Callithrix jacchus: one gene and its partners. The protein of the gene in region 3 purifies or fractionates together with the protein of the main gene of each other region. This does not show direct contact. Links are inferred from orthologs where the notes say so. Each region holds a gene or a part of one and is shown on either strand. Other genes may lie near its edges. The genes, in order: BAG6, UBL4A and GET3.

Region 1 (10,247 bases), on a different chromosome or scaffold from region 3:
AGGTGTTTCCCAAGAACTGGCTAATCCCCAGGGACATAAGTCAGTATAGGAAAAACTGGCTGTGTAGACAAACCAGTGCAATACAACCCGATTAAGTGCTTTTGAGCAGCTATGATGCAGATGCTGGGGCACAGTGGATTGCTCTCTAGTTTATAATTGGAAAAATATGTATACCCTGGCAATGTTCACTGACACAAATATGTTCATTCACTCAACATTTATTACTACAAAGAGACTACATAATCTGTCTATTAAAGAGGATAGATGTTGGTGTCAGGCAGAACATGTCCAAACCCTAACTACAGGTGGGGCATGGTAGCTCATGCCTGTAATCTCAGCACTTTGAGAGGCCAAGGTGGGCTGATCACTTGAGCCTAGGAGTTCGAGACTAGCCTGGGCTACATTGCAAAACTCTGTCTCTACAAAAAATTAGCTGGATGTTGTGGCACACGCCTGTAGTCCCAGCTACTAGGGAAGCTGAGGTGAGATGATTGCTTGAGCCCAGGATGTGGAGGCTGTAGTGAGCCCTGATCATGCCATTGCACTCCAGCTTGGGCGACACAGTGAGACTCTGTCTCCAAACAAAAAACAAAAAACAAACAAACCAAAAAAACCCACCAACCCCTAACTACTATGTCTGTTTTTTCATCTGTAAAATTGGCAAATCTTCAATCTCATAGGATTAAATGAAATAATGCCCATAAAGCCCTTAGCAAAGACTGCGCATGGTAAGTCCAAAGTATGTATTTGCTACAATTAATAGTAATGTTTGCTAAGCACTTTAGTTTCTGGTGGGTAGTAAGTTCTCAAATAATAGATGGTAAGAATTGCCAAACAGGCTGTCATTCGACAGCACCAAGTGACTGGAACAGCTAATGCTCTGAGATGTGGGGCTTCCTTGATAATTATGTATTTATTTATTTATTTGAGACAGAGTCTCGATCTGTTGCCCAGGCTGGAGTGCAGTGGCGCAATCTTGGCTCACCGCAACCTCCACCTCCTGGGTTCGAGCAGTTCTCTGCCTCAGCCTCCTGAGTACCTGGCATTACTGGCACCTGCCACCATGCCAGGCTTTTTTGTATTTTTAGTAGAGATGAGGTTTCATCATGTTGGCCAGACTGGTCTCAAACTCCTGACCTCATGATCTGCCTGCCTCAACTTCCCAAAGTGCTGGGATTATAGGTGTAAGCCACTGCACCCAGCCTACTTATTTTTTTAGCCAGTCAAATTTAGCAGTTGGGGGTGGGGGCTGTACACCAACTTTAGTGACACTGGTAATAAGTTCTGATACCCACTACCATCGGACCAGCCCTACTTCTTTATTTTTTTGACGTGGAGTTTCACTCTTATTACCCAGGCTGGAGTGCAATGGTGCGATCTCGGCTCACCGCAACCTCTGCCTCCCGGGTTCAAGCAATTCTCCTACCTCAGCCTCCCGAATAGCTGGGACTACGGGTTGCGCCACCATGCCCAGCCAAGTTTTGTATTTTTAGTAGAGATGGGGGTTTCACCATGTTGACCAAGATGGTCTCAATCTCTTGACCTAGTGATCCACCCACCTCGGCCTCCCAAAGTGCTGGGATTATAGACGTGAGCCACCGTGCCAGGCCCTACTTATTTATTTTTAAGACAGTGTCTCACTCTGTTGCCCAGGTATGATTACCGCTCACTACGACCTTGACTTCCCAGGTTCAGATGATTCTGGAGTAGGAACTATGGGCACACACCATCACATCTGTCTAATTTTTTGTAGAGACAAGGTTTCACCATATTGTACAGGCTGGTATTAAACTTCTGAGCTCAAGCAATCAGCCCACCTCAGCCTCCTAAAGTTGGGATTACAGGCATGAGCCACCATGCCTAGCTTGATAGATTATTTATATCCCATGGGCTGCCACAAAAAATTTGCCCTAAGGGATGAGGCTTGTGTTTTTGTTAAAAACAAAATTTGGAAAAAAAATTTTTTTGGGTGACCAGTATATTACAGTTCATCATACTATTTTATTTTGGTGTAATGTTTGAAAAAAAAATTTTTTTTTTTGAGACGGAGTTTCACCCAGACTGGAGTGCCCAGACTGGAGTGCAACGGCACGATCTCGGCTCACTGAAACCTCCGCCTCCTGGGTTCAAGCAATTCTCCTGACTCAGCTTCCTGAATAGCTGGGACTCCAGGCGCACACCACCATGCCGAGCTAATGTTTGTATTTTTAGTAGAGACGGGGTTTCACCTTGTTGACCAGGATGGTCTCGATCTCTTGACCTCGTGATCCACCCGCCTCGGCCTCCCAAAGTGCTGGAATTATAGGTGTGAGCCACTGCGCCCCACCTATGTTTGAAAATTTTTATAATAAAAAGCTAAAATGTGGCTAGGCACGGCAGTTCATACCTATAATCCCAGCACTGTGGGAAGTCAAGGTGGGAGAATTGCTTGAGGCCAAGCGTTCAAGACCAGGCTGGGCAACACAGCGAGATTCTATCTCCAGAAAAATAAAATTAGCAGGGTGTGGTGGCATGCATCTGTGGTCTCTACTAGTTGGGAGACTGAAGTGGGAGGATTGGTTGGGCTCGGGAGGCAGAGGCTGCAGTGAGCTGTGATTGTGCCACTGTACTCCAGTCTGGGAGACAAAGCCAGACCCTCTCTAAAAAAATAAAATAGGCTGGATGTGGTGGCTGACGCCTGTAATTCCAGCACTTTGGGAGGCCAAGGCGGGCAGATCATGAAGTCAGGAGATCAAGACCATCCTGGTCAACATGGTGAAACCGTCTCTACTAAAAATACAAATATTAGCTGGGCGTGGTGGCAGGCGCCTATAGTCACAGTTACTCGGGAGGCTGAGGCAGGAGAATAGCTTGAAACTAGGAGGCGGAGGCTGCAGTGAGCCAAGACCGCAACTAGGAGGCGGAGGCTGCAGTGAGCCAAGACCACGCCACTGCACTTCAGCCTGGGCGACACAGCAAGACTGTCTCCAAAAAAAAAAAAAAAAAAAAAAAATGTGTGTACATAATAAATAAAATGTAGGCCAGGTGCGGTGGCTCAAGCCTGTAATCCCAGCACTTTGGGAGGCCAAGGCGGGTGGATCACGAGGTCAAGAGATTGAGACCATCCTGGTCAACATGGTGAAACCCCGTCTCTACTAAAAATAAAAAAAAAAAAAAAAAAAAAAAAAAAAAAATTTAGCTGGGCATGGTAGCGCATGCCTGTAATCCCAGCTACTCGGGAGGCTGAGACAGAATTGCCTGAACCCAGGAGGCGGAGGTTGCGGTGAGCCGAGATTGCGCCATTTCACTCCAGCCTGGACAAGAGCTAAACTCTGTCTCAAAAAAAAAAAAAAAAAAAGAAGCTAAAATACAACAACAATTCTTTATTGGGGCAGTAAAGTACAAGTGCTCGATCTGGACTCCTGTAGGCCTAGATTTGTCAGTTCTCCCACTTAGTTCGTCTAAGTGTACTCACCTATAAAATGTTAAAACGCTTATGTTAAAAGGCTGGTTAAGATAAGACAATACACAAAACCCTTAGTATGTGGGCTGGCAGAAGTGCTCATTAAAACAGCTGCTTATTAGAACTCTTAACTAAAATATAACCAGAACCTGGGTATAAACTATGAATCCCAGAAAGGCTGGGCACCCCAGCAACGATGTGCTTTCTGGAAGACTCGCAGTTTCGCGAGGCCGAGGCCCTTTTCTTAGGAAAGCTTAAAAGAAGAGGGCACGGAGAGGCGGTAATGCCTCCACCCCAGCCTTCGGAAGCACGTTGGCCGGCCTTTCAATTCCCCACCGTCAGGGTCTTGTCTTTTGGTCCACTCGGACTCCATTTGCTCCCAATTCTCAAACTCGGAGGCGCCTCATTTCTTGAAAAAAGTCCTGCGAGTTAGTAGCATGCTTAGTTTTCCTAAAACGTGTCATGTCCCCTTGGCCGCACACCGCCGACGAACGTGACACCCACAGCCCGCAAAACGCCCACCCGGCAGAACCGATATCTAGCCCAAACAACCAACCAAAACCCAAATACATCCTTGCCGCCCCCAAATGCCTACTGAAAGTAACTTCCGGTGGCGGAGAAAGAAGGGCGCAGCGAGGGCGATAGGGTCGGGAAGAGTTTTAGCTGGCTAGGACAGTGCCGCCTGAAATTCTCAGCCTGCCAAAATTTAAACATAGATTAATGTGGCATAATCCTCCATCTCCAAATCCAAGGTCCATGCGACCGTCCATAGCCCCTCTCGAAGCAGTGGTGGACTCCCATCTGGCGATTGTTTTTCAGGCATTTACAGTAGCCACCTCAATCTTCCAGCGCTCAAGAGCTCGCATAGGAGAAGCGAGAGCCGACAGAGGGGGGTGGAGCGGTGCTTCAGTGTGTACGCATACGTAGTGCAACGCACGCAGGCGTAGTACGGTCCCCTGGGCGACGGCGGCGGCGGCTCCTCGGGGTCCTCGGCTCCCTCCCACCTAGGCCGGCCCCGGCCCGACTCGCCCTCAGAAACTCACTGGGGCTGTGGACTTTCTCGTCGTGCCCCACAAAAGTAAAGCTTGGGGACCTGGGGGGAGCCGGAAGTATCGCCTTGAGATCCCCAAATACTATCGTGGAAACGGAAGTGGCCGTCGGTGGCAGGTTGGGGGAGACCGGAAGTGACGGTCCGTGGGGAAGTCGGGGGCGGAGCCGCGGGGTCGTTGGGTGTGTGTGTATGTGTGTGTGTGTGGTTGTGGTTGGCCGTAGGTTAGTTGTGCGGTTCTGCTGGAACACCGTGGGAAGGCAGTAGACGAGGGCAGTCAGCTAGCTCGTACGGCGCCCCGTGAGTGCCGTTTTGGGTCTAGTGAGTTAGGGTTCGACGGGCGTGGCGCGCGTGCGCGAAACCACTTTCTCCGCAGTGTGTGGCGCGACCCCCGCTTTCGCCTTGTCCCAGGATTTTGTGACCTCTGGGGCGTTTGTCCCGTCGTGACCGGTGATGACACTGGTCTCTGGTCTCGTGCTTTTTTCCTAATCTGACTGGCTCCCCCCTTATTGTGATTGGCATCGTGGAGCCCCTCCCACCTCTTGTCCTCCAGCTCCTATGCCGTCGATCTCCTGCCCTTTGTGTTTCTCTCCCTGTGCCCCGGAATTACAAGGGTGATGGGGGCAAGTGTGAATGTGTGTGTTTGTACAGGAGAAACTTTTTAGGTATTGGGGCAGGGATTAATGCTAGGGAGGCTTCCGGGTACACGCTGCTCTGGGAGACAACGGGCCTTTCTTCTTCATTCTTCTTTAGAGAGCTGTCGGCCATGGAGCCTAATGATAGTACCAGTACGGCTGTGGAGGAGCCTGACAGTTTGGAGGTGCTGGTGAAGACCCTGGACTCTCAAACTCGGACCTTTATTGTGGGGTCCCAGGTGAGACACCTTAGAAGTTCTGGAAGACACATTTAGATTTTCCTCTTTTAAGCCTCTTAGCCTGATTTTGTGGTCATCAGATTTTCTTTATTCTTTCTTTCTTTTTTTTTTTTTGGAGTTGGAGTCTCCCTCTGTCCCCCAGGCGGGAGTGCAGTGGCGCCATCTAGGCTCACTGCAACCTCCGCCTCCCTGGTTCAAGTGATTCTTCTGCCTCAGTTTCCCAAGTAGCTGGGACTATAGGCACCTGCCATCAGCCAATTTTTGTATTTTTAGTAGAGACGGGTTTCACCATATTGGTCAAGCTGATGTGGAACTCCTGACCTTGTGATTGGCCTGCCTCACTCTCCCAAATTGCTGGGATTACAGGTGTGAGCCATGGCACCTGGCCCTTTTTTTTTTTAATTTTTATTTATTTATTTAAAGATGGGGTTTCACCATGATGGTCAGGCTGGTCTTGAACTCCTTACCTCAGGTGATCCACCCACCTCGGCCTCCCAGAGTGCTAGGATTACAGGTGTGAGCCACCATGCCCTGCCTTTTTTTTTTTTTTTTTTGACATGGAGTCTTGCTTTGTCTCCCAGGCTGGAGTGTAGTGGCGTGATCTCAGCTCACTGCATCCTCCACTTCCCAGGTTCAAGTGTTTCTTCTGCCTCTACCTCCCAAGTAGCTGGAATTACAGCCACTACACCTAGCTAATTTTTGTATTTTTAGTAGATATGGGGTTTCACCATGTTGGCCAGGCTGATCTCAAACTCCTGACCTCAGGTGATCTGCCCACCTAGGCCTCCCAAAGTTCTGGGATTATAGGCATGAGCCACCACACCTGATCTCAGATTTTCTTTTCATTGATTCCTTTGTTTGTATTCCAGTGGAACGTTTTCTGATGTTTTGTGAGTGAGGCTGATTTTGTTCTGTCCTCCACATGGATAGAACTTAATGCAGAGGGAAACAGAGTGAGGAAGAATCTGTGTGTCATCATCCACCCCAAAGGGACAGACATGGCTCTGGCCTTTGGGAAGGGAAACAGCGCAGGGACCCTAAGCAAGTGTATCTTATTGATAGAAAATGGTCAGGTCTGTGCTGTGTTTTTAAAGGATAGAAATCAGAACTCATAATGGAGATTGAGCCTTGATAGACTGTTGAGGGAAATTACTAATTTTTGTGGCATAGCTTGAGTCTTTTGAGCTTAAAGCCTTGGACACAGCTATCTATATCTTTATTCCTGTAATAGAGACGAATTGCATGTGAGTTGGTCCGTGGTTTTCTAAAACATGGTATTAGCTGGATATAAGAAAGCCATATATAGAGTTGTAATTAGATGCGTGTAAACACTTTATCAAGAGTAAGTCTCTAGTTAGGAAAAACGTTTTTGTTTTTATCGCTACTTTTTTTTTTTTTTTTAAGATGGAGTTTTGCTCTTGTTGCCCAGGCTGGAGGGCAGTGGTGTGATCTCAGCTCACTGCATCCTTCGCCTTTTGGGTTCAAGCCATTCTCTTGCCTCAGCTTCCCAAGTAGATGGGATTACAGACGCTTGCCACCACGCATGGCTAATTTTTTTTTTTTTTTTTTTTTTTTTGAGACAGTTTCGCTCTTGTTACCCAGGCTGGAGTGCAATGGCGCAATCTCGGCTCACCACAACCTCCGCCTCCTGGGTTCAGGCAATTCTCCTGCCTCAGCCTCCTGAGTAGGTGGGATTACAGGCACACGCCACTGTGCTCAGCTAATTTTTTGTAGTTTTTAGTAGAGATGGGGTTTCACCATGTTGACCAGGATGGTCTCGATCTCTTGACCTCGTGATCCACCTGCCTCGGCCTTCCAAAGTGCTGGGATTACAGGCTTGAGCCACCGCGCCCGGCCAGCTAATTTTTTTATTTTTAGTAGAGACAGAGTTTTATCATGTTGGCCAGGCTGGTGTCGAGCTCCTGACCTCAGGTGACGAACCTGCCTTGGCCTCCCCAAGTGCTGGAGTTACAGGTGTGATGCGCCAGGTCCTTTTTTGCTACTTTCTTAGTTTTTCTTCTTTTTTTTTTTTTTGTTTTTGTTTTTGTTTTTTGAGACGGAGTTTCGCTCTTGTTACCCAGGATAGAGTGCAATGGCGCGATCTCGGCTCACCACAACCTCCGCCTCCTGGGTTCAGGCAATTCTCCTGCCTCAGCCTCCTGAGTAGCTGGGATTACAGGCATGTGCCACCATGTCCAGCTACTTTTTGTATCTTTTTTTTTTTTTTTTTTTTTTTGAGACGGAGTTTCGCTCTTGTTACCCAGGCTGGAGTGCAATGGTGCGATCTTGGCTCACTGCAACCTCCGCCCCCTGGGTTCAGGCAATTCTCCTGCCTCAGCCTCCTGAGTAGCTGGGATTACAGGCATGCGCCACTGTGCCCGGCTAATTTTTTTGTAATTTTTAGTAGAGACGGGGTTTCACCATGTTGACCAGGATGGTCTCAATCTGTTGACCTCGTGATCCACCCGCCTCGGCCTTCCAAAGTGCTGGGATTACAGGCTTGAGCCACCGCGCCCGGCCAATTTTTTGTATCTTTAGTAGAGACGGGGTTTCACTAATTTGACCAGGAGAGTCTCGATCTCTTGACCTCGTGATCCACCCGCCTTGGCCTCCCAAAGTGCTGGGATTTCAGGCTTGAGCCATCGTGCCTGGCCAGTTTTTCTTCATTAACCTGATTCCAGACCCCATCTTCTTTGCCATTTTTTAATCTTGGGAATTATAGGAGAGTCTGATAAATAAACTCCTGGTATCATTTTGTGTTTGGAAAGGGGTCACTGATGTTTCAGACACACATTCCCGTGGGAGCCAGGCAGAGAATGTAATGTCCAGATGTTTTTTTTGTTTTGTTTCTCATCCATGTTATTTTTCATGGACCTATATATAACCTGAGCTTCATTAAATTTATTTATTTAATTTTTTGAGATGGAGTCTCACTCTGTTGCCTGGGCTGGAGTACAATGGCACAATCTCAGCAACCTCTGCCTCCCTGGTTAAAATGATTCTCTTGCCTCAGCCTCCCTAGTAGCTGGGATTACAGGTGCCCACTACCACACCTAGCTAATTATTTTTGTATTTTTAGTAGAGACAGGATTTCATCATGTTAGGCTGGTCTGGAACTCCTGACCTCAGGTGATCTGCCTGACCTTGGCTTCTCAAAGTGTTGGGAATACAGGTGTGAGCCACTGCACCCAGCCAAGTTTATTGTCTATATTTTGACAGCTGTTACTTCAGTTTAAGGGTTTGCACGGTGATTACCTCACAGTCAAGACAAATGGGTGGTGATTCTGTCAGTTGTCCGTCTCTGTTCTTCCTCTTTCCTCTATTCTTTCCATTCCTGTGCATACCTTCTCTTCCTTGCAGATGAATGTGAAAGAGTTTAAGGAGCACATTGCTGCCTCTGTCAGCATCCCATCTGAAAAACAACGGCTCATTTACCAGGGACGAGTTCTGCAAGATGATAAGAAGCTCCAGGAATATAGTAAGGCGACTGGGGAGGCAGTTGAGACGTTGAGACTGCTATCTGGAGTGTTGAGTTGAGGCCACGGGTTTACCTGTTCATACTATGTTTTGGTGTGTGTCTATTTTTCTGCAGATGTTGGGGGAAAGGTTATCCACCTGGTGGAACGGGCTCCTCCTCAGACTCAGCTCCCTTCTGGGGCATCTTCTGGGACGGGGTCTGCCTCAGCCACTCATGGTGGGGGACCCCCGCCTGGTACTCGGGGGCCTGGGGCCTCTGTTCATGACCGGAATGCCAACAGCTATGTCATGGTTGGAACCTTCAATCTTCCTGTAAGCTTATGTTCCACAGGGGAGGGTCTTTGTGGGTAGCTTTGGTTGTGGTAGCAGCAGGGTATTAATAAGATAGATGCTTCCATCTTTAGGTTGGGTTCAGGGGGCCCTGTGGTATGCTATTGGTGTCAGTGTTTAAGGAGAAAAGAGAGCGGGGCTCCAGGGAATGAATCGGAAGAGTGGAGGCCTTAGTATTGGCTTCTCCCAGAACAACTTCCCTTACCCTTTCCCCAGAGTGACGGCTCTGCTGTGGATGTTCACATCAACATGGAACAGGCCCCGATTCAGGTATTGAGGGGCCTTGGAGGGTCAGGGAAGGGGATCTGGGAGAAGGAGGCTGGGAGGTGGGGTAGACCTGGTTGAAAGATGGCTGGGACCTGATTTAGTAGGTGGTAGAATTCATGGCTTCATCTGTAACCTACCCTGATCACTCTTCTCTCATTGTAGAGTGAGCCCCGGGTACGGCTGGTGATGGCTCAGCACATGATCAGGGATATACAGACCTTACTATCCCGGATGGAGGTAAGTGGGCAAGGCTGGCTAGAGTCTCTCCCCACCTTCCCCCTTTTCTCTCAGCCTGGGGGTTGGGGCATAACTGGCCACATTCACAGGGTTTGGCCTTCGTAATCTAGACTTCTTTGCAGTATTCATTCTTTTGGACAGAAAAACGTATCTTTGTGAGCTGCTCTCATTTCTACCAGTCCTCTTGGTGCCTGGTGCCTGGTATCTGGGGAGTTTGTTTCAGATTTGTCTCATGGGATCTCTTTTTTTTTTTCAGACGGAGTTTCGCTGTTGTTACCCAGACTGGAGTGCAATGGCACGATCTTGGCTCACTGCAACCCCTGCCTCCTGGGTTCAAGCAATTCTCCTGCCTCAGCCTCCCGAGTAGCTGGGACTACAGGCGTGCACCACCATGCCCAGCTAATTTTTGTATTTTTAGTAGAGACGGGGTTTCACCTTGTTGACCAGGATGGTCTTGATCTCTTGACCTTGTGATCCACCCGCCTCGGCCTCCTAAAGTGCTGGGATTATAGGCATGAGCCACCGCGCCTGGCTGGGATCTCTTTTCAATTAAAGGATTCCACATTTGGCCT
Region 2 (10,441 bases), on a different chromosome or scaffold from region 3:
CAGGCTGGAGTGCAGTGGCATAATCGTGGTTTGCTGCAACCTCGACCTCCCTGGGCTCAGGTGACCCTCTCACCTCAGCCTCCTGGGTAGGTGGAACTACAGGCGTGCACCACCATACCTGGCTGATTTTTGTATTTTTTGTAGGGACTGGGATCTCTCTATGTTGCCCAGGCCGCTGTCAAACTCCTGGGCTCAAGCTATCTGCCCACTGTGGCCTCCCATTGCATCTGGCCACCTATATTTTTTTTGAGACGGTTTTGCTCTTGTCACCCAGGCTGGAGTGCGATGGCGTGATCTCAGCTCACTGCAACCTCTGTCTCCCAGGTTCAAGCAATTCTCCTGCCTCAGCCCCCCAAGTCGCTGAGATTACAGGCATGCATCACCACGCCTGACTAATTTTGTATTTTTAGTAGAGACAGGGTTTCTCCGTGTTGATCAGACTGGTCTTGAAGTCCCGATCTCAGGTGATCCGCCCACCTCGGCCTCCTAAAGTGCTGGGATTACAGGTGTGAGCCACCGCACCCGGCCTTCTGTTGTTGTTGTTGAGACGGGGTCTTACTATGTTTCCCAGGCTATTCTGGAACTCCTGGCCTCAAGCAAGCCTCCCACCTCAGCCTTCCAAAGAGGGTGGGTGACAGGTGTGAGGCACCATGCCCAGCCGTCTATATTTACATTGTTCAAAAGTCAAAACTATGTTAAAAAATATATAATATATATAAATTTATAAATATATATATAAATGTATATATTTATACATTTATATATAAAATTTATAATATATATACATTTATATATATTATATATATATATATGTGGTAGAACTCCTGATCACCAGGTCAGGAATTCGAGACCATCCTGGCTAACATGGTGAAACCCCAACTCTACTAAAAAATACAAAAATTAGCTGGGCGTGGTGGCGCGTGCCTGCAGGAGAATTGCTTGAACCCAGGAGGCGGAGGTTGCAGTGAGCCAAGATCATACCACTTCACTCCAGCCTGACGCCTGGCGACAGAGCGACACTGTCTAAAAAAAAAAGAGTGAGAAAAAGGAAAGGTTTTTATAGAGAAATGGCAAGTAATAGGTATAGAAAAAAGTATCAGAAAATTACCATTTTTGTAACCATCAATGTAATAATTGTTATTAACTTAATAATTGATTCAGGATGGCCGGGAAGGGTGGCTCATGCCTGTAATCCCCGCACTTTGGGAGGCTGAGGTGGGTGGATCTTGAGGTCAGGAGTTTGAGACCAGTCTGGCTAACATAGTGAAACCCTGTCTTTACTAAAACTACAAAAAAAATTAGCTGGGTATGGTAGCACACGCTTGTAGTCCCAGCTACTCAGGAGGCTGAGGTGGGAGAATTTCTTGAACCAGGGAGGCGGATGTCGCAGTGAGCCGAGACCACACCATTGCACTCCAGCCTCGGTGACAGAGTGAGACTCTGTCTCAAAAAAAAAAAAGAAAAAAAGTTGATTCAGGCAAGGATTATCACTGGATGGCAAAACCATTAAATGAAAGGATATTCTCAAAGTCTCCAAGTATTACCCCAAATTACCTGTGAATCAGGAAGGGAAACTGCATCTTTACAGGCGAGAGATCTGGCAGCTGCCACCTGGGTTACGTGATGAAACTGAGTGTCCCCAACACTGGGGCAGCCTGACCCTGCCTGCCTCCTGATGTGGGGGCTGGGGGCGAGTATGCTTCCAAAAATATTCTTGCCTGATTGCCCTTCAGTCAGGTGGGCATGGAGAAAATGTGTGTGCTGAGGAGCTGGCCAGTGCTGGACATGAGTGTCAAGAGGGAAGGGACTGTGTCTCCCAGTCTCAGGGTTGCCAGCACTTGGGACACAGTGGGCACTCAGTGATGAGCAGGTGCTGTCTGGGAGACACGGGCTGGAGCTCAGGAGAGAGGGCTGGGATGAGACATAGACGTGGGAGTGAAGCACAGAAATAGAAACTAAGTAGGATGAGCTCCCCTAAGGAGTGATACAGAGAGGGAAGAGGTGTTCAGGGACTGAGCCCTGGGACCTCAACATTGAAGGTTGGGGTGTGTGTGAAGAACCAGCAAGAGAGCCTGAGAAGGAGCAAGCAGTGGAAACAGCAGGAGAGCAAGGGTGTAAGATGGTGAGGAGTGGCCTGCCAGTCATTCAGTGGGGCCCCAGGGGTGTGTACAGGCCACTCCAGCTGGGTCCTGGAGGACAAGGCAGTTGCTAGGTGTCTCTCATCTCTCCTGAAGGCGTTTCAGGGCTGGGAGGCTCAAGGCTGGCCACAGCTGCCTGCCACATCTACTCCTGGGAGTACCAGGCCCCGGCAGATCTATTAAGAGCTGGTGATGCCCACATGGGATACCTGCAAGGTGCTAGCAAACTGTGGGTACAGCGAATCCATTTCTAGGGAGCCTCCCCACCCCAAGGCAAATGCTGCTGTCCTCTGAGGCTGCTCTTCCTGCCGTGGGCCCTTCACTTATGCTGCCATCTCCTGACACACACCATGGCTGCAGAGGTCAGGAACTGTCCCGAGGCCCCTCCTTGAGGGGCAAAGGGTAGTGGATGACTCAGTGCCATCTCACAGAGCAGACGATTTGCTCAGAGGGGTGCAGCACCTGCAGTAAACATTCGGACTCCTGTTAAAGGATCTCAGCATTTGGGGGCTGGAGCCTGTGGCTGCTCCATCTTCATGCAGTCCCCCCACTTCCCATCTCCCATCCCTGCAATGTTTCCTCCCTCTCGTGCCCTCCCTGATGCTTCCCCTGATTTTGATGCCTCCAGCCCTCTCCTCCACTACCTCCAAGGTGACCCTGATCTTTCTGACACATGTATGGCCCCTGTAGTAGACCGCTGCCATTTGCAGCCACAATTGAGGACATCCATTCATCCAGCCCTCCCCCAGAGCCTTCTGTCCCTTGCACAGCCCATCCAGGGAAGTGGCCCCATGCCTAGCTCAGGGAGACAGCCCTGATGGAGAATTACCCTCTACCGCGGCCAAAATGATTGGACACACAGTCCAGTTGTGACCAATGAGAAGAGTGTTTATTTGCTGGGGCATCTGGCAGTGAGGCAGGGATTCCATGCAAGCTGCAGGCAGCCATCTTTTCATCCTTGGAGGTGATGGCCTGGGATGAAGCAGATACGAACGCAGAGGGAGGCAGGAAGACACTGGGTGAAATTGCTCACCTGCTGCCAATGCCAACACCACTGGACTTTTCCTTTCATTAAGTCAAGAAATTTCCTGTACTGATTCAACAAATTGCCTTTATTTTTAAACCAATTATTGGATACCAGAAGCAGCCTAGCTAATATAGCTCCTTTGGATAAAAGTAGAAGTTTCACGTTCACCTTTAATGTTATTTCACTTTCCAAAATTAATTTCCTGGCACCAAACAAGAACCCTGGTAAATGTATCACCTGAGCTGCAGGCCACACATGCTCACAAGCATGTCCCTCCACATATGGCTTTGAAGCCACATACATGGCTTTCCAGCTCTCGTGGGTGGCCAGGGGCTTTTGTGTGCTCTTCAGAGCCTTCACTCATTCGGCCTCTGCCCATATTTCCAGCCTGGGGACCCAATATTTGGCCCACAAGGCCCAGGCAGGAGGGTCTCCAGCACGTGCAGCCCTGACCACACTGAGCTGCTCCCTTGGCAAGGGTGGAGGGGCTGGAGTGGTGTCTTCCTGCCTGTGGCTTCCTTCCAGCCTCTACCACCCCTGGGGGCCTCCTCCAAGGAGCAGGCACTTCAATGTCCTCTAGTGCCCATGCGCAGGGCAGGGTGGAGGAGGAACTGGAACCCAGCCCATGCTTCTGCCCCTGCCTTGGCACCCCAAGGTTTCCTCTCAGGCAATAAGGAGCATACGAAGTAAGCCCCCGCACACAGATGGCTGGGATGTATTCGTCTTCCACATGGTGGCAAATGCTGGGGATGAGGATAAATGCCTACACCAGTCCCAGCTCTGACACTGCCTTTCTGAGTCACCCATCAGCCCTAATGCTTCCTGGAGGAGGAGACAAGCAGACAGGGTGCCCCAGAGAAGAGCTGTGTCACCAAAGGCCAGGACACCCATCTCTGGGTCACACTTGGCCATGCTTTGCTTTTGACTTCAGTTCGTTTATTGAACAGAAGGGAGAAGAGCACTGTTAACACTCCCCACCCTGGGCTGGGGTAAGGGCGGAGAACACTGACTCAGATCAGGAAGTGGCCCTCACCCTATAGAGTCTGTGGCGGGGGACCAAAGTGGCACTGAGACTTGCCCAAAGTCATATCACAGAGCTGGGGTGACTTTCTCACTCCCTGGCCCCAACCTGCTTTTCCATTTGTAGAACGCTCACTAGCTGTAGCAGCTGGGGGATCCAGGGCTGGCTGCAACTTGGCCTCCTGCAGCAGTGAGCTGAGGGTTAATGCTGGACCCGCCAGAAGTCAGGTGACAACTGCTTCCCCTTTCAGGCTTGGGAAGGAGTTGCTTGAGTGTATATTCTCAGTGGGCTAAATATGACAAGTGAGCTCAGCTCTCCAAGCAGCCCCTTCCTCCTTGTCACATCAAGGCACTTTCAGAAGCTGCTGGACTCCAACTGGGGCTCCTCCCCTGCGTCGCCCCCGCTGTGCTGGCTCTCCTCTTCCAAGGGTGTGGAAGCAAACCCAGGTCAAGCTGTGAGTGGTGCCTAGCACCTGGCCAGAGCCAGGTACCTGCCAGCTATTATTATGAGCCCAACTGCAACTGAACACACGTTGTGTGATGTTCAGCCGTGGCCTGGCGTTGGGCACCTCCCTATGCTCTGAGAATGCTATTTGGAGAAGCCCTTCTCCATCGTCTCAGTCACTTCTGGATGCAGGAAACGGCCAGCCAATCGTTCGATGTCGTCCAGTGTCAGGCGGCTCAGGGACCTCTCGTAATCCTGGGGAGAGAAAGGCAGGAAGATTCAGGGGATGGCAGTGGGGGGCTGGGAGCAGCTGGGCCTAGAAAGGATGTCCAGGGTTGCCCTTCTCACCCTCTGTAGCTGTTCCAGGACCCTGCTGGCATCTGCCGCGCTGAAGTGACGGGCCAAGACTTTGGAGATCAGCTGCCAGACCTGCGGGGGTGGGGAGTCGGCCAGTCTCCGGCCAGTGCCTTCTTCTAGTAGCACCTTCTCCAGGGGTTTGACCACTAGGTTGAGCTTGGAGTTGGGCCCGATGCTATAATCCGAGAGTCGTTTCCCATCTGCCAAAGACAGATCGATGAGTTTCTCCCTGCCGCCGTGGGGGTGGCCCAGGACACGAGGCCGCTTCGGGCTGCGGGATTCAGCTTTGCAGCATGCGGTCGTCTACCCTGGAGTCAAGTGGCGCTGGGCGCCGGCACCCCGACCCGTCACACGGCTGCCGAGGCGGCCAGAGCACCCTGGCCCCGCTTCCTGCGGGGCTCCCTGGGCGTCTCCTCTCCCTGGGTACCTGCCAGGGCCTTGCCCTTGAAGAGCAGCCGCTGCTGGCGCACGGGGACGTTCAGCTTCTCTGAGACCAGCTGCTTCAGCGTGGACACCAGCTCGTCCTCCGGCACCTGGCCGCGCCGAGGGTGGGAGGCAGGGATTGAGCCCGCGGCCCTCGGTCGACGAAGCCCACGCGTCCGCTACCGAGGGCGGCTCTCTCGGCTACCAGCCCCCGGCCCGGCCGCCCCGTGCCCGCCCTCGGCCCTGGCGGTCCTCCTGTTAGGGGCGGGCGACTGACGGGCCCGGCAGCCCGGCCCCGGGACCCTACCTGCAGGCTGCAGTCGCGGCCCTGCAGCGCCTTCACCGTCAGCTGCATGGCGGCCGCGGCGGCGTCCACTCGGGCGGGCGCGCACCCCAACCACCCCCCGCCGCGCGCCGCCGCCCCGGTCGCGCGCCGGATCCACCCGCTGCCGCCGGAAGCAGCAAGAGGGGCGCGCCCGCCGCCCGCGCTTCCCGGCCCCGCCCTCCTGTCCCGTTCACGCCCCCCACCCCAATTGCGCCCCGGGAGGAGGAGTCCCCCTGGGGTTCCGCCTCGCAAACGCGCAGCGACTGCCCTAGCCGGCGGACCCTTCCCAAAGCCACAGTGCGGGGAATTTGGGAGCTAGAACCCGTCGGGTCAGGTTGGCGTCATGTAGGAGCTGGGGCATGGAGAAGGAAGGGCCAAGAGTTACGCTCGCCCCCGCGGATGGCCTGAACCACCCCACATATCCTGACAGCTGGCGGAGCCGGGCCCTGCAAACCCACAGACGGCCCGCCCCCACCCCCTGCCCGCTGGGTTTCTGCCTCCTCCTTTCTGGTCTGGCTGCAAAACACCCCACCGAGTTTGAGAGCGGGCAGGGGAGCCAGGCCTCTGCTCTCATCCTCCCACCTCTCCCAGAATGGGGACATTCCTGGGGAGGGCTGATAGAGAAAGCCTGTGCATGGGTCACCGTGTCATCCAAGCTGGTCCTCCACCCTGGTCCACACCTACCCAGCACACTCTACCCCCAAGCCCAGGCACCAAAGGGCAAAGATTGGAAGGGACCCAAGCTTGCTTCTGTCTTTTATTGAAATATATTTTTGGGGCAGTGCCCACCTACCTAACTCAGCATGGCCTCCTTGGCACTGAAAGCTGGAGAATAAAAAAATCAGTAAAAAAAATAAGCCTGGATTTTTCTGAGTGCATAGTGCATGAGAACTAAAGGCCTTTGGTACACAAGAACTCTGGGGACAGTAGGTGGAGTGTGGAGGCTGGGACTGACGAAAGCTTGACCCAGAGGCCTCAGGGAACTGGGAACAGGCTGCTGTAGATGAAGTGGCCGATGACCAAGGCCAGCATCTCAGAGGTGCCACTCAGTGCCACAATGAAGGGGGCCTGGGAGGCATAGTCAGCCTGAAGGCGGCGGAGGGATAGCTGTAGCATGGCCAAGGCCAGCAGGCTGTTCTGCACCCCTACCTCAATGCTGACTGTCCGCCGCTGGGCCACTGGCAGCCTCAGACACGTGGCCAAGCAGTAGCCCACCAACAGGCCAACCAGGGGCACCGTGATACCCACCAGCACGATGGGTAGCCTGACGCCTGCCAGGATGAAGACCCCCATGCGATAGGCCAGGAAGAGGCCGCCCAGGAGGAGCACAAAACTGAAGGGCTTGATGACCTGCAGCAGCAGTTGGGAGAACTTGGGGAGCTTGGATTTGATGAGCACACCCACTGCTATGGGGATGGCAATGAACAGCAGGGTCCCCAGGATCTTGGATATGGGCACGTGGAGTGTTTCATGGACACTGAGCAGGCGGCTGTAGATGGCTGAAGACAGTGGCAAGAAACCAGTGGCAGCCACCGTGGAGATGAACGTCATGGAGATGGCCAGTGTGACATCCCCTCCAAGAAGGAGGCTGAAGAGGTAGCTCCCCCCGCCGCCAGGCGACGAGCAGGTGATGATGAGGCCCAGAGCGAGGGCCTTGGGCAGCATGAAGACCTTGGCCATGAGGAAAGCGTATAAGGGCATGACCAGAAACTGGCCCAGGAGGCCCAGCAGCATGGGCTGGGGGCTCTGCAGGAGCCCCTTCAGAACCTCAAGTTCCACTTTGCACCCAAACGAACACTTATTGACAAAGATAAGAGGCAGGAGCAGGTAGAGTATTGGGTTTTCCGAGAAGTGGGCCAGGTGGGCGCTGAGGGCGGCAGGGGTGTCTTCAGCAGGTGAGACCTTGATGCAGAAATCTCTCCGTTCCTCAATCACTGTGGGCAGTGCCTCATGGGCGCCCATGAGCTGGATGTGGAGTGGGGCCAGCCCAGCCATGCCGGAGTGGATGCTCACCACGAAGCCGCCCCCACCTCCCCAGGTTATGGCACTCACGTTCTTGATGGTCAGCACCTCTGTGTCCAGGGATGTGACCCTCAGCGTGGGGCTGGGTCCTGTCCCGTTGGCCTGGCCTGGGTACTGGCTGGAGATCACGATGATGCCCTCACTCTCCTCAGGAAATTCAAACTCCATCACAGAACCATCTCCAATGCTCAAGTAGCGGCCCCCAGTCAATGGCACAGTGTGGCCCACAGCGGTGCTGAGGCTGGTGCTGGCTGTCCCTTGGGCCCCCCATGGTAGGCTGATGAGCAGCAGGGCAGCTCTGAGCATGTCTACGGGACCTGTGCCACCACCTCTGCCTCCCCGACCAGGCCACTGCTGAGAGCTGTCCCTGCCCTGCATTGACACCATGGCTCCTCCTGGAGGACGGATGTCGCGCCCAGGCCCTCTGTGGCTTAGGAGAGCATCCCCACTGGTGCTATCAGGTTGTCCTGAGAAGGGTTCATGGGTGGGTCCTGGTCCTGTGCTGCCTTCCTTGATGGCAGGGCTCTCCCTGAGGAGGTAAGGGACACAGAGAGGTGGCTGGTGAGGGTGTGCAGTCAAGAACCCAGGAGCATGGGGATCTGGAAGCCCATGGTAAGAGTAAAACTCAGCAGGGACCCTTGCCCCATGCTCAGGAATGGAGAGGCAATGCCTGGTGTTGGCCCCTGAGTACCATTCGGCTGTGGCTTCCTGGCCTACTCTACCTGCTACTACAGTGCCTCGGTGAGGGTTCTGCTGGGGACAGGTCCTCCCTCCCCAGGGAAGTTGCCAGAAGGGGCAGCAGGAGTGGGTCAGAGCCACATGTCTACTGGGGGGTTTATCTTCCTTTTGTCAGTGCTCCCACTGGTCCCAGAATTTGAGCTCTCAGAGCTGCTGTGTTACATCTGAGAGGCTGTGCTGAGTCCAGGGCTCCTCCCCGTGCTCAGGTGCACCCTACCAGAGCCTCAAACTCTCAGTGGAGCTGTGAGTGTTTCTAGGGGCCAGCAGCACCTCCCTCCAGTTCTCAATGTGGAGTGTCCACCATAGTGTCACATCGCCTGCTAGAATTGGGGCAACCAGGAAGGGGCCACAGCAGCTTAACATCACTGCTGTCAGTTGCTTCATGCACTGTTTTGTCCCAGTCCTCTGTAGATCCTATCAGTCTTCAGCCCTGGCCTCCTGTCATCTGAGCCTGGGGTGAGGTGAAGTAGGGAGCAGAGATTAGGTTAAGTCACAAGTTCATCCCTGGGAGCCTCCCCTATCCCTACTTCAGGATGATATGGCCTCTGCTGGCTTGAAGTTCGGGTCACTTACCCTGGAGGCCTTGGTCCAGCCACGTGTCTTACCTCTGAAGAGGGAGACAGGAAAACCAGTGGGGTGGGAGAAGCAAAGTAGAGGGGCAAAGATGAAGGTAGCAGGACTACAGCCATCACGGTGGCATGAACCAGTTCAGGAGGGAAAGGTTAGGGGCCATCCAACCCCATGCCCCATCCCTCCAGAAGGGCTGTCGGCTCTGAGTCACTGCAAGAGGGGTTTGGCTCAGATCCCACACCATTTCTGCTTGAGGGGCCGACAGAGTTTGAGCAGATGCACCCACAAGGCAGGGGAGGGAGTCCCGGCCCGGATGGATGCTCTTTGCACGTCGGCCATGTGTTCGGGGTAACTGGCAGCGCTGACACGGGCTCCTCCCTACCTGGGAGTCCGGAAGTTGTCGGACGGGTCGCTAGCAGAGCTTGGGTGCGAACCTGGGAGGGAGGAAGGGAAGGGCACGCTGCCGTCCCACAGCCGGCGACCAGCTCGGGCCGTCTCGAGGTCTGGGGAGGACCGTTACGCCATTCCTGGGTCCCGCGGCTGCGCCAGGCCTCGCGAACGCGCGGCGGCGGTGGCAGCCCTTCCCTGACAGGCCCGGCCGGGCGCCCGAGTGAGCGATAGCGGAGCGGGGTCGGGGCCAGAGGCCACCTCCCTTCCGGAGGCTCTCACCTGCCACAGCCACCACGCAGCTCAACTGCAGCGCCGGCCCGGCTGGCAGACGCCCGCGAGCTTGGCCCGTCAGGGCCCCGCCCCGTCGAGGCCCCTCCCTACCCCGCCCCGCCGAGGCCCCGCCCCGCGCGTCAGGATTCCGCCCTCCCTCCGCGTCCCGCTCCACTCCGGCGGTTCTCTGGGTTCCGACCGGATGTGACCTTTCTGGGAGCGACGCGCCGGCGCCGGAGCGGGAGAGCTGGGCTGGCAGCTTCCTGCAGCTGGTTGGTGCCCGGCGCTGCCTGGACCAATCGCTTGGCAGTGCATCTGAACCTGTTGTGATCGTTGACCACGTTGCCGCTCAAGGGTGCCCAGGCCTGGAGCTCCAGGGCTGAGTTTGACAGACCAGGACGCCAGGCTCTGTGCGGAGTTCTCCTTTCGTTCAAGCATTAACCCAGCGCCTATTTCTATTCTTTTTTCTTAGATGGAGTCTCTGTTACCCAGGCTGGAGTGCAGTGGCGCGATCTCGGCTCACCGCAACCTCCGTTTCCCGGGTTCCAGCAATTCTCCTGCCTCAGCCTCCCAAGTAGCTCGGATTACAGCCGCGCGCCACTACACCCTGCTAATTTGTGTATTTTTCGTAAAGACGGGTTTTCACCATGTTGGCCAGGTTGGTCTCGAACTCCTGACCTCGTGATCCGCCCGCCTTGGCCTCCCGAGCCACTGCA
Region 3 (10,124 bases):
TTCTAGAGATGCATTTTTGCCATATTGTTCAGGCTGGTCTTGAACTCCTGGGCCCAAGCAATCCACCCATCTCGAACTCCCAAAATGTTGGGATTACAGGTATGAGCCACTGTACCCAATCCACACCCATTTTTAACAAATGAAGAAACTGAGGTTTGCAGAGGTTAGATCACTTGCCCAAAGTCACATGCTGGATCCAGAAATAGAGCCCCTAGTCTGTTACTCTCAAGTCAACACTTTTTCCTCCACACTCAGGGACTTGATCTTAACACCAGAGACATGGCAAGCTCAGAGCCAAAAATCAATATATGCCCTATTTATTTAGCCCAGAGTTTCTCAACCTGGCACTCATAACATTTTGAGCTGAATTATTCTTTGTTTGGGGGTGGGAGGGCGCTGCCCCACACAAGGTAGGAAGTTGAGCAGCATCCCTGGCCTCTACCCATAGATGTCACTAGCACCCCCTCCAGCAGTTCTGACAACCAAAAATGTCTCTAGACTTTGCCAAATGTGGGGGTGGAGGGAATTGCCCCAATTGAGAACCACTAGTTTAGCCCTTCCTGGAAGACAGGCTCTGCGCTAACCACTTTTCCAGGATCACCTCATAAAACCCTCACCACCACATCAAGAGATGCGACGATGTCTATTTTTGCAACTAGGGAAATGAGGGTAGGCAGCCCAGAGGCTCCAGGAAAGCAGCGCTCTTCTCTGCAAGCTCACCACTGCATACCCAGCACCTAGCACAATGCCTAGCACAAGGAAAATTGCCCAATAAATGGAGATTGGTGGAATGAGATTCAAGGAAGTCAAGCAATTGTCCTAGGTAAGTAATTGTCCTTACACGGTTAGCGGTCTCAGTCTAATGCATATTGCTCAGAGTCCAGACTTGAATTTGCCCCCTTTTCTCACAATCAGTGGTGGTCCCATGACCCGAGGTCCAGGTACCACTCAAGCAAGAAGGAATCCTGACATCCACGTTTCCTCATTCTCCACAGTGCTGAATCCAATACAACTCGGCTCCCACTCCCCACCAGCAGGCTCCTGGCGCCCCCACACCCGCTCCCAGCCCCCCTCTTGTCGGGAATCCAAGTTCCACATCCTCAGAGGGTGACCCCGACGCCCCCCCCCGAAAGTGAACCTCGGTCCCGATCCCCCTTCACGGGCCCCGACTCCCGCTTTCAGGACAGGCCCTGGCGCCCGCCCCCACCCCCACGGCTCCTTACGAAGCTAAGTGTGGGGCCCGGACCGCCCTTCCTCTTCGGATCCCCGGGGCCCGAGGCGGCGGCCGACTGGTCCGGTCGCTGAGGACCCGGGGGCGGCTCCTCCTGCCGCTGCCGCTGCTCCTCCTCCATCTTCCGCTTGAACAGCTCCAGGAAGCTGCCGTCGTTGGCGAACAAGTTCACGCCGCCCGACACCGGGCTCGAACCCGCGCCCGACACCTCCTCGTCGCCGCTCTCGGGCGACGTCCCCGATCCCGACTCAGCCCAACGGCTTCCACCACCGCCACCGCCCGCGGGGCCCGGCGCCTCCCGGCCTGGAGGCTCCGCCCGTCTCCCTCGGGCAGCCATTTTGTCGCCAGGTGCCGCGCAAAGCACTCCGGGAAAGCCGCTCCGGCCCCGCGCTTGGCGCCCGACTCTTCTCGTCCCGAACAATGCATGATGGGAAGAGGGGTCCGGCCCTCGAGAGTCCGCAGTTGAGGCGGGGAGGGGGCGGGGCGATGAGAGGACCGACCCAAAGAGGCGGGGCTGGGGGAGGGGCCCCGCCTCACGGGTTTTTTTGTTTCTTTGTTTTTTTTTTTTTTTGAGACGGAGTTTTCGCTCTTGCTGCCCAGGCTAGAGTGCAATGGCGCGATATCGGCTCACCGCAGCCTCCACCTCCCGGGTTCAAGCGATTCTCCTGCCTCAGCCTCCCGAGTAGCTGGGATTACAGGCACGCGCCACCACGCGGGCTACTTTTTGTACTCTTAGTAGAGACGGGGTTTCGCCATGTTGGCCAGGCTGGTCTCGAACGCCCGACCTCAGGTGATTCACCAGCCTCGGCCTCCCAAAGTGCTAGGATAGCCGTGAGCCACCACGCCCAGTGGCGGGAGGCCGAGGCAGGAGAATCGCTTGAATACTGGAGGTGAATGTTGCGGTGAGCCGAGATTGCACCATTGCATTCCAGCCTGGGCAACAAGAGCAAAACACCGTCTCAAAAAAAAAACAAAAGAAAAATAGAAAATTAGAGACGGGCGTCTGGCTATACTGCCCAAGCTAGGTCTCGAACTCCTGGCCTCAAGTGATCCTCCCGCCTTGCCCTCCCCTCCCTAAGTATTGGGATTACAGACATTAGCCATTCGGCCCAGTCTGGCGAGGTTTTGTTGTTTGTTTTTTGGAGACAGAGTCACACTCTCACCCAGGCTGGAGTGCAGAGGCGGGATGGTGGCTCACTGCAGCCTCGACCTCCCAGAGCTGAGGTGATCCTCCCACCTCACCCTCCCTAGTAGCTGAGAAAACAGGCATGCGCCACTATTCCTGGCCAATTTTTGTGTGTGGAGATGGGGTTTTGTCATGTTCCCCAGGCTGCTCTCGAACTCCTAGGCTCCAGCAATCCTCTCACCTCAGCCTCTCAAAATGCTAGGATTCCAGGCGTGAGCCACCGAGCCCTGCCTCGCGGGTTTTCAAAATTCAGCAGTACTCGAGCTGGTGTTCCCCAGACAGGGGCTCCCCTAGAATGAGACTGTTGTCTGAGACTGAGGCTGTAGCTTGCTCTCTGGAGTGTAGTTTTACTCGGGGCTAGGAGCAGATTCGCTTTGCAGGGTTAGAATCCCTGTCTGACACCAATAATAATCTCTGTGAGGGGAAGCACCTCATTTGGGGCTGTGTGCTCAGCTGACACCTAGGAACTTGAGTCCCCAACTAGGAATAGAGAGTATTTCTAGCCTGGGCCCCCCACGTAGAAATTGGGGTATCTCTGGGTTGGATACCCATCTCTGGGATAAAGCTTACATTTAATGAGGACATAGCTTGCTCTGTGGAGCTGAGGTCCCTGAGAATCAGCTTTTTTTTTTTGAAACGGAGTCTCACTCTTTCGCCCAGGCTGGAGTACCGTGGTGCCATCTCGGCTCACAGCAACCTCCGCCCCTCACCGGGTTCAAGCGATTCTACTGCCTAAGCCAACCGAGTAGCTGGGATTACAGGCTCGCACCACCAGGCCGGGCTAATTTATTTTTAGTACAGACGGTATTTCACCATGTTGGACAGGCTGGTCCAGAACTCTTGACCTCAGGTGATCCACCACCTCGGCCTCCCAAAGTGCTGGGATTACAGGCATGAGCCCCCGCGCCCGGCCGGATTCTACATACATGTTAACCAGTTTATTTTATGACCTGTAGTATTCAGATGAAGTCGGGGTTATCTCTAGGCCCTAGTCTCTGTCTAAAGTTAAGAGTATTGGCCGGGCGCGGTGGCTCATGCCTGTGAACCCAGCACTTTCGGAGGCCGAGGAGGGCAGATCACGAGGTGAGGAGATCCATCGTGGCCACGGTGAAACCCCGTCTCTACTAAAATACTAAAAATTAGCCGGGTGTGGTGACGCGCGCCCGTAGTCCCAGCTACTCAGGAGGCAGAGGCAGGGGAATCGCTTGAACCCGGGAGACGGAGGTTGCAGTGAGCCGACATCGCGCCACTGCACTCCAGTCTGGCGACAGAGCAAGACTCGGTCTCCAAAAAAAAAAAAAACAAAAAAAAAAAAAAAAAAAAAAAACACTCACTTTGGGAGGCCGATGCTGGTGGATCACGAGGTCAGGATATCGAGACCATCCTGGTCAACTTGGTGAAACCCCGTCTCTACTAAAAATACAAAAAATTAGCTGGGCATGGTGGCGCGTGCCAGCTTCTCAGGAGGCTGAGGCAGGAGAATTGCCTGAACCCAGGAGGCGGAGGTTGTGGTGAGCCGAGATCGCGCCATTGCACTCCAGCCTGGGTAACAAGAGCAAAACTCCGTCTAAAGAAAAAAAAAACCTTTAGAGATGCTTCTGTATTTACCCCTATTTGATAGATGAAGAACTTGAAGCGCAGAAAGGCTAAGTGACTTACCCAAGATCACACAGCGAAAAAAAAAAAAAGTATTATGGGGTGAGATCTTCATCAGGGGCCTGGAACCCAGCTTGTGTTCCTGCTCCAGGACAGAAGTTCGAACGTGAATTATGGTATACTGGAGTCTTCTCTTGAACAGGAGAAATGCAAGGAAGCTTTTAGGAATTAGGGTCCCTTCTGCGAAACTGAGCGCAATTGCAGGCATGGAGCCTGCTCAGCATGGGAGATGAGGGAGTAATGGTTAAGAATGCGGACTTGCACACTCTAAGCCACTATCAGCCCCAGGGATTCATCTCCAGCCGAGTCAACTCTTCTATGATTGGATTGTGGGAGGAACCAAGTGGCTAACAACCAATTGAATAACAGAAGGGGCGGAACCAAAGGGGAGGTTCGGATTCAACGTGAAGAATAGAGGGAAAATGATGGACATAAAATTGAACCTATGGAGTCAGGCCAAGGCGGACCTGGACTCTAACTTCTCCGAAAGGGCAAGGACTGGGTGTTTGGCTGGTTGCTAAGGAGAGGTTGGCGCTACCGGAACGTGAGAGTGATTGGTGAAAGTAAGAAAAGATCTAGCCAATGAAAAGAGCGCCGCAAGATTTATGGCCCAATCAGTGAAGAGGAGTACCCTGGACCGTACTGATGTGCTCATTTGGTAAGGGGAGTCCTTGGAGAAATACAGACCAGAGGTTAACAAAGTGAACCCTGGAAGCAAAGAATAGTGAAAACATAATTTATATTTCTCCTGAAAGGCAAGTCATGAGGAAATTAATTCATGCTTATAGCCTCGATGGGAATGTGCTAGAGGATTTCCCCTGTAGGTGCTTCGCATGGTGTGCTCCGCTTGATCACGTGAGCCAGTTCCAAAATGGCGGCAGGGGTGGCCGGGTGGGGGGTTGAGGCAGAGGAGTTCGAAGACGCGCCTGATGTGGAGCCGCTGGAGCCTACACTTAGCAACATCATCGAGCAGCGCAGCCTGAAGTGGATCTTCGTCGGGGGCAAGGGTGGAGTGGGCAAGACCACCTGCAGGTACGGAGCCTGCTGCGGGAGCCAGGAGCCGGGTAGGGTATGCCACTGGGCGTAGGGGAGGCCAAGTACCGGCTTTTCCACCACGAGCGGGGCAAGGCGGGTGGCGGGGGTCTTTGGTTTCACACTCTAGAAGTTACCTGGAGCAAATGGGAGATAACTCCTCAATGCAGGCCTAGCACCCTCTGAGTTGGACCATCACTGTTGGGGCTCAAGTGCTGAACCACAGTGAACTCAGTGCTCGAGGGACGGGGGAGCACTTAGATATCCCCATCATCTGGACCGTACCTGAGTGAAATCAAAGTTGTGGGTAGGGATTGGACCAAACAATCAATCCTAGTTCGGTGAACCTTGCTGTTTTACGCCCAAGGCGAGAGTGAGGGCGGAAAGGGAGGGAGAGGGCACATGATCAGAGTGTCCCAGGTAGCTGCAGGCAGGAAGTGTCCGTGGGGCAGATTATCCTGGACAAGTGGACTGAACCATCCTGTGCTTAGCAAGGAATGGAAGGGACCCCCCCCCCCTCCAGCTTATTAAGGAAGGTGGCACAGAGTCACGCTATGCTGGCTGGACAGCGGGGCCATACCACTGTGTGCCCAGCAAAGAAGAAGCGGGCACAAGGCCAGATGGACTCAGTCAGCTGAACCTTAACTCTCTAGTCCAGATTGAGGGTTCAGTAGATAAATCAGAGAGGGGTCCTTTTTAGGGATTGAGGCTTAATCCCACGGTAACCCATACTCTTCTCTCAAGGCCCCTGTTGATCCGGGTCACCTGCTTTAAGGAACCTGTCACTCCCCTTGCAGACCCAGGGAACAGAGCCCAACCCCTCATCCCCCATCTTTTGACTTTTCCGTTACCCAGCTGCAGCCTGGCAGTCCAGCTGTCCAAGGGACGTGAGAGTGTTCTGATCATCTCCACAGACCCAGCTCATAACATCTCAGATGCTTTTGACCAGAAGTTCTCAAAGGTGCCTACCAAGGTCAAAGGCTATGACAACCTCTTTGCTATGGTGAGTGGAGCAGGGCTTAGCTCCCACTTCTGGGAAAGACCCTTCCAGCCTTTCTTGTGCACACACATCAGCAGCCACCATGTCCTATCCATTCTGTATCCTGTATCTCTCCTGTTTCACCCCTTCCTCAACATACTCACAAGGGAACGAATGAGGAATTGCGGAGCAGGAAGGACACCAGAGTGCCTGAAGCTTAGAGAGCCAGGGTAGGGGAAGGAGAAGTTGGAAAGACCAATCAGAGCCACATGGTGTGGGACCTTACAGTGCACGGTAAGCAGTTGGGCGTTGACTCCAGGTTTAATGGGAAGTTGTTTGTTTTAAGCAGGGCAGTGTCATGGCCAAATTCATGTTTGAAAAGTACCCTCTGACAGCTAAGTGGAGATTCAGTTGTCAAGGAAAGTAATGAGGTTGGGGCTGTAACCAGTTGAGAGATGACAGCATCCTGGACTGTGGTGGGACAGAATGTTGGGGGAGAAGCAGTCAGATTTGGGAATTCATTTACTTATTTTTTTTAGACAGTCAAGACTCCTCTGTTGCCCAAGCTGGAGTGCAGTGGTGCAACCTCAGCTCATTGCAACCCCTGCCTCCCAGGTTCGAGCAATTCTTCTGCCTCAGCCTCCCCAGTAGCTGCCATTACAGGCATGTGCCACCATGCCCTGTTAATTTTGTATTTTTCATAGAGACAGGGTTTCACCGTGTTGGCCAGACTGGTCTCCAACTCCTGACCTCAAGTGATCTGACTGCCTTGGCTTCCCACAGTGCTGGGGTTGCAGGAATGAGCCGCATCGCACCAGGGACTTATTTAACAGAAGTAAATTAGTGAGATTACTTGGTCGGAATGGGTGAGAAAAATAAATGAACTAGTTACATGTTTTTATTTTCTGAGCAGCTAGGATGCGGAAAACTAGTAAAGGAGTAGGTTTAGAAGGGACAAGTCAAGAATGTCATTTAGTCCGCAGCGAATCTGAGGTGCCCACTGAAAATCCAAGTGGAAACATCATGACAGTAGCTTGTTTACGTGAGTCTGGAGCTCAGAGGAGATTGTTACTGATTTGGAAGTCACTGACCCAAAGGTAGCATTTAAAGCTGTGTGAAGGCTGGACCTGGTGGCTCACACCTGTAATCCCAGCACTTTGAGAGGCCAAGGTGGGCAGATCACTTGAGGTCAGGAGTTCAAGACCAGCCTGGCCAACGTGAAACCCTGTCTCTACTAAAAATACAACAAAATTAGGCAGGCCTGGTGATGCATGCCTGTAATCCCAGCTACTCGAAAGGCTGAGGCAGGAAAATCACTTGAACCTGGGAGGCAGAGGTTGCAGTGAGCCGAGATCGTGCTATTGCACTCCAGCCTAGGCAACAGAACGAGACTCTGTCTCAAAAATTAAAAAAAGACACAGAGTCTTTTGACATTAAAAAAAAGACACAGCCATGTTGCCCAGGGTGGTCTCGAATTCTTGGGCTGGAGAAGTAATCCTCCTGCCTCAGCCTCAAGTGTAAGGTACTGCATCCAGCCTCAGACAGCTTTTCTTTTCTTTTTTTTTTGAGATTGAGTCAGTGCACTGTAAGCAGTTGGGCATTGACTCCAGGTTTAATGGGAAGTTGTTTTAATCAGGGCAATGTCATAGCCTACCAAACTGCTGGGATTACAGGCGTGAGCCACCGCACCCAGCCTATTATTTATTAATTTTTTTTTTTGAGACAGACTCTTACTCTGTCGCCCAGGCTGGAGTACAGTGGCTGAGTCTCTATTCATTACAACCTCCACTTCCCGAGTTCAAGTGATTCTCCTGCTTCAGCCTCTCGAGTAGCTGTGATTACTACCACCATGCCTGACTCATTTTTGTATTTTTAGTAGAGATGGTGTTTTGCCACCTTGGTCAAACCGATCTCAAACTCCTGACCTCAAGTGATCCACCTGTTTGGCCTCCCAAAGTGCTGGGATTACAAATATAAGCCACTGTGCCTGGCCTGCAAAACCCTGTCATTACAAAACAATTTCAAAAAATTAGGTGAGTGTGGCCAGGTGCAGTGGCTCACGTCTGTAATCCCAGGCCACTGTGCCTGGCCATAAACACTTCTTAAGGTAGCAGGGGGAACCAGAATTATCCAGTTCATCAAGTGCCCATTGGAAATTTGTGTTCAGAAAAGGGGAGCAAGGGCCAGGCACAGTGGCTCACACCTGTAATCCCTTTGGGAGGCCAAGGCAGGTGGATCAAAAGGTCAGGAGATTAAGATCAGCCTGGCCAAGATGGTTAAACCCTGTCTCTACTAGAAATACAAAAATTAGGCTGGGTGTGGTGGATCACAAAGTCAGGAGTTTGAGAACTTGCCAACAGAGTGAAACCCTGTCTCTACTAAAATCACAAAAAATTAGCCAGGCATGGTGGCAGGCACCTGTAATCCCAACCACTCAGGAGGCTGAGGCAGGAGAATCACTTGAACCTGGGAGGTGGAGGTTAAGCCAAGATCGTGCCACTGCACTCCAGACAGGGCAACAGTGTCAGGCTTCGTCTCACAAAAGAAAAAAAAAAAACAGCCGGGCACGGTGGCGGGCGCCTGTAGTCCCAGCTACTTGGGAGGCTGAGGTAGGAAGATTGCTTGAGCCCAGGAGTTCTGGACTGTAGTGCGCTATGCTGACTGGGTGTCCACACTGTTTGGCATCAGTATGGTGACCTCTTGGGAGCGGGGGACCACCAGGTTGCCTAAGGAGGGGTGAACCAGCCCAGGTTGGAAATGGAGCAGGTCAAAACTCCTGTGCTGATCAGTAGTGGGATCGCGCCTGTGAACTGCACTCCAGCCTAGGCAACATAGCAAGACCCCATCTCTAAAAGAAGAAATACAAAAATTAGCCAGGCGTGGTGGGCACTTGTAATCCCAGTTACTCGGGAGGCTGAGACAGAGAATTGCTTGAACCCGGGAGGCAGAGGTTGTAGGGAGTCTACATTGTGCCACTGCACCCCAGCTGCACAACTGAGTGAGACTCCATCTCAAGAAAAAAAAACAAGGACGGAAAAAAAAAGTAAGATGGGAATAGTCTTTAAGAGAGTGTTCAGGCCCTCGAGTGCAGTGATGAAAGAGCTGGAAAGCCACACCTGTAATTTAGTGCTTGGGGAGACTGAGACAGGAGGATCACTTGAGGCCAGGAGTTCAAGGCCTCATTGCCAGCCTGGGCAACAAAGAGAGACCCTTTATGTACAAAATACAAACAAACAAAATTAGCTGGACGTGGTGGTATATGCCTGTAGTCCCAATTAGTTGGGAGGTTGAGGCAGGAGGATCACTTGAGCCTAGAAGTTTGAGGCTTCGATGAGCTATGAATGAGACACTATCTCTTTTTTTTTTGAGACAGAGTCTCACTCTGTCTCCCAGGCTGGAGTGCAGTAGTATGATCTCCGCTTACTGCAACCTCCACATCTCGGGTATAAGCGACTCTCCTGACTCAGCCTCCCAAGGAGCTGGGACTACAGGCGGGTGTCACCACACTCAGCTAATTTTTTTGTATATTTAGTAGAGACAGGGTTTCACTTGTTAGCCAGGATGGTCTCGATCTCCTGACCTTGTGATCCACTCACCTTGGCCTCCCAAAGTGCTGGGATTACAGGTGTGAGCCACCATGCTAGGCCTGAATTTTTTTTTTGTAGAGATGGGGTTTTACCATAGTGGCCAGGCTGGTCTTGAACTCCTGACCTTAAGTGATCTGCCCGCCTTGGCCTCCTAATGTGCTGGGATTACCAGTGTGAGCCACCTCGCCCCGCCAAGTTGCTATCTCTTAAAGAAAAACAAAACAAAACTGGAAGCAACCAGGGTGGGGAATTTTGCCAATAGCAGGGAGAAAGGGAGTGTTTGCAGAGGTAACCTATGGAGGCTGGGCTGGACACGGGTGCCAGTCAAGAGGGGCACTGACAGCTTACAAGGGGCCAGGTGAGGGGATAAAGTGGTCCAAGAGGCTTAGAATAACTGAGGCATGAGAGGAGGTTAAGGTTAGAGAGTGGGTACTAGGACGTGGTGAGGAGTGG

Evidence for each region.
Region 1: the proteins of GET3 (region 3) and BAG6 purify together in Homo sapiens (co-immunoprecipitation; 5 studies listed by BioGRID and IntAct, with this or other methods). This does not show direct contact. The link is inferred for Callithrix jacchus from reciprocal best matches to the Homo sapiens genes GET3 and BAG6.
Region 2: the proteins of GET3 (region 3) and UBL4A purify together in Homo sapiens (affinity purification with mass spectrometry; 4 studies listed by BioGRID and IntAct, with this or other methods). This does not show direct contact. The link is inferred for Callithrix jacchus from reciprocal best matches to the Homo sapiens genes GET3 and UBL4A.

The regions. Positions count from the first base shown.
Region 1 is NC_133505.1:39,149,780-39,160,026, reverse strand, and holds the start of BAG6 (large proline-rich protein BAG6), read left to right. Parts: upstream 1-5,034; 5' UTR 5,035-5,123; coding exon 5,124-5,155; intron 5,156-5,243; coding exon 5,244-5,364; intron 5,365-8,724; coding exon 8,725-8,842; intron 8,843-8,956; coding exon 8,957-9,153; intron 9,154-9,387; coding exon 9,388-9,441; intron 9,442-9,600; coding exon 9,601-9,675; intron 9,676-10,247. UniProt on the Homo sapiens protein: ATP-independent molecular chaperone preventing the aggregation of misfolded and hydrophobic patches-containing proteins.
Region 2 is NC_133524.1:150,277,149-150,287,589, forward strand, and holds UBL4A (ubiquitin-like protein 4A), read right to left. Parts: upstream 5,789-10,441; 5' UTR 5,766-5,788; coding exon 5,718-5,765; intron 5,521-5,717; coding exon 5,415-5,520; intron 5,188-5,414; coding exon 4,979-5,187; intron 4,886-4,978; coding exon 4,775-4,885; 3' UTR 3,006-4,774; downstream 1-3,005. Other genes in the region: SLC10A3 (P3 protein), read right to left, coding at 6,711-8,286, 9,069-9,184. UniProt on the Homo sapiens protein: As part of a cytosolic protein quality control complex, the BAG6/BAT3 complex, maintains misfolded and hydrophobic patches-containing proteins in a soluble state and participates in their proper delivery to the endoplasmic reticulum or alternatively can promote their sorting to the proteasome where they undergo degradation.
Region 3 is NC_133523.1:11,554,150-11,564,273, forward strand, and holds the start of GET3 (ATPase GET3), read left to right. Parts: upstream 1-4,935; 5' UTR 4,936-4,944; coding exon 4,945-5,105; intron 5,106-5,960; coding exon 5,961-6,108; intron 6,109-10,124. Other genes in the region: TRIR (telomerase RNA component interacting RNase), read right to left, coding at 1,224-1,568.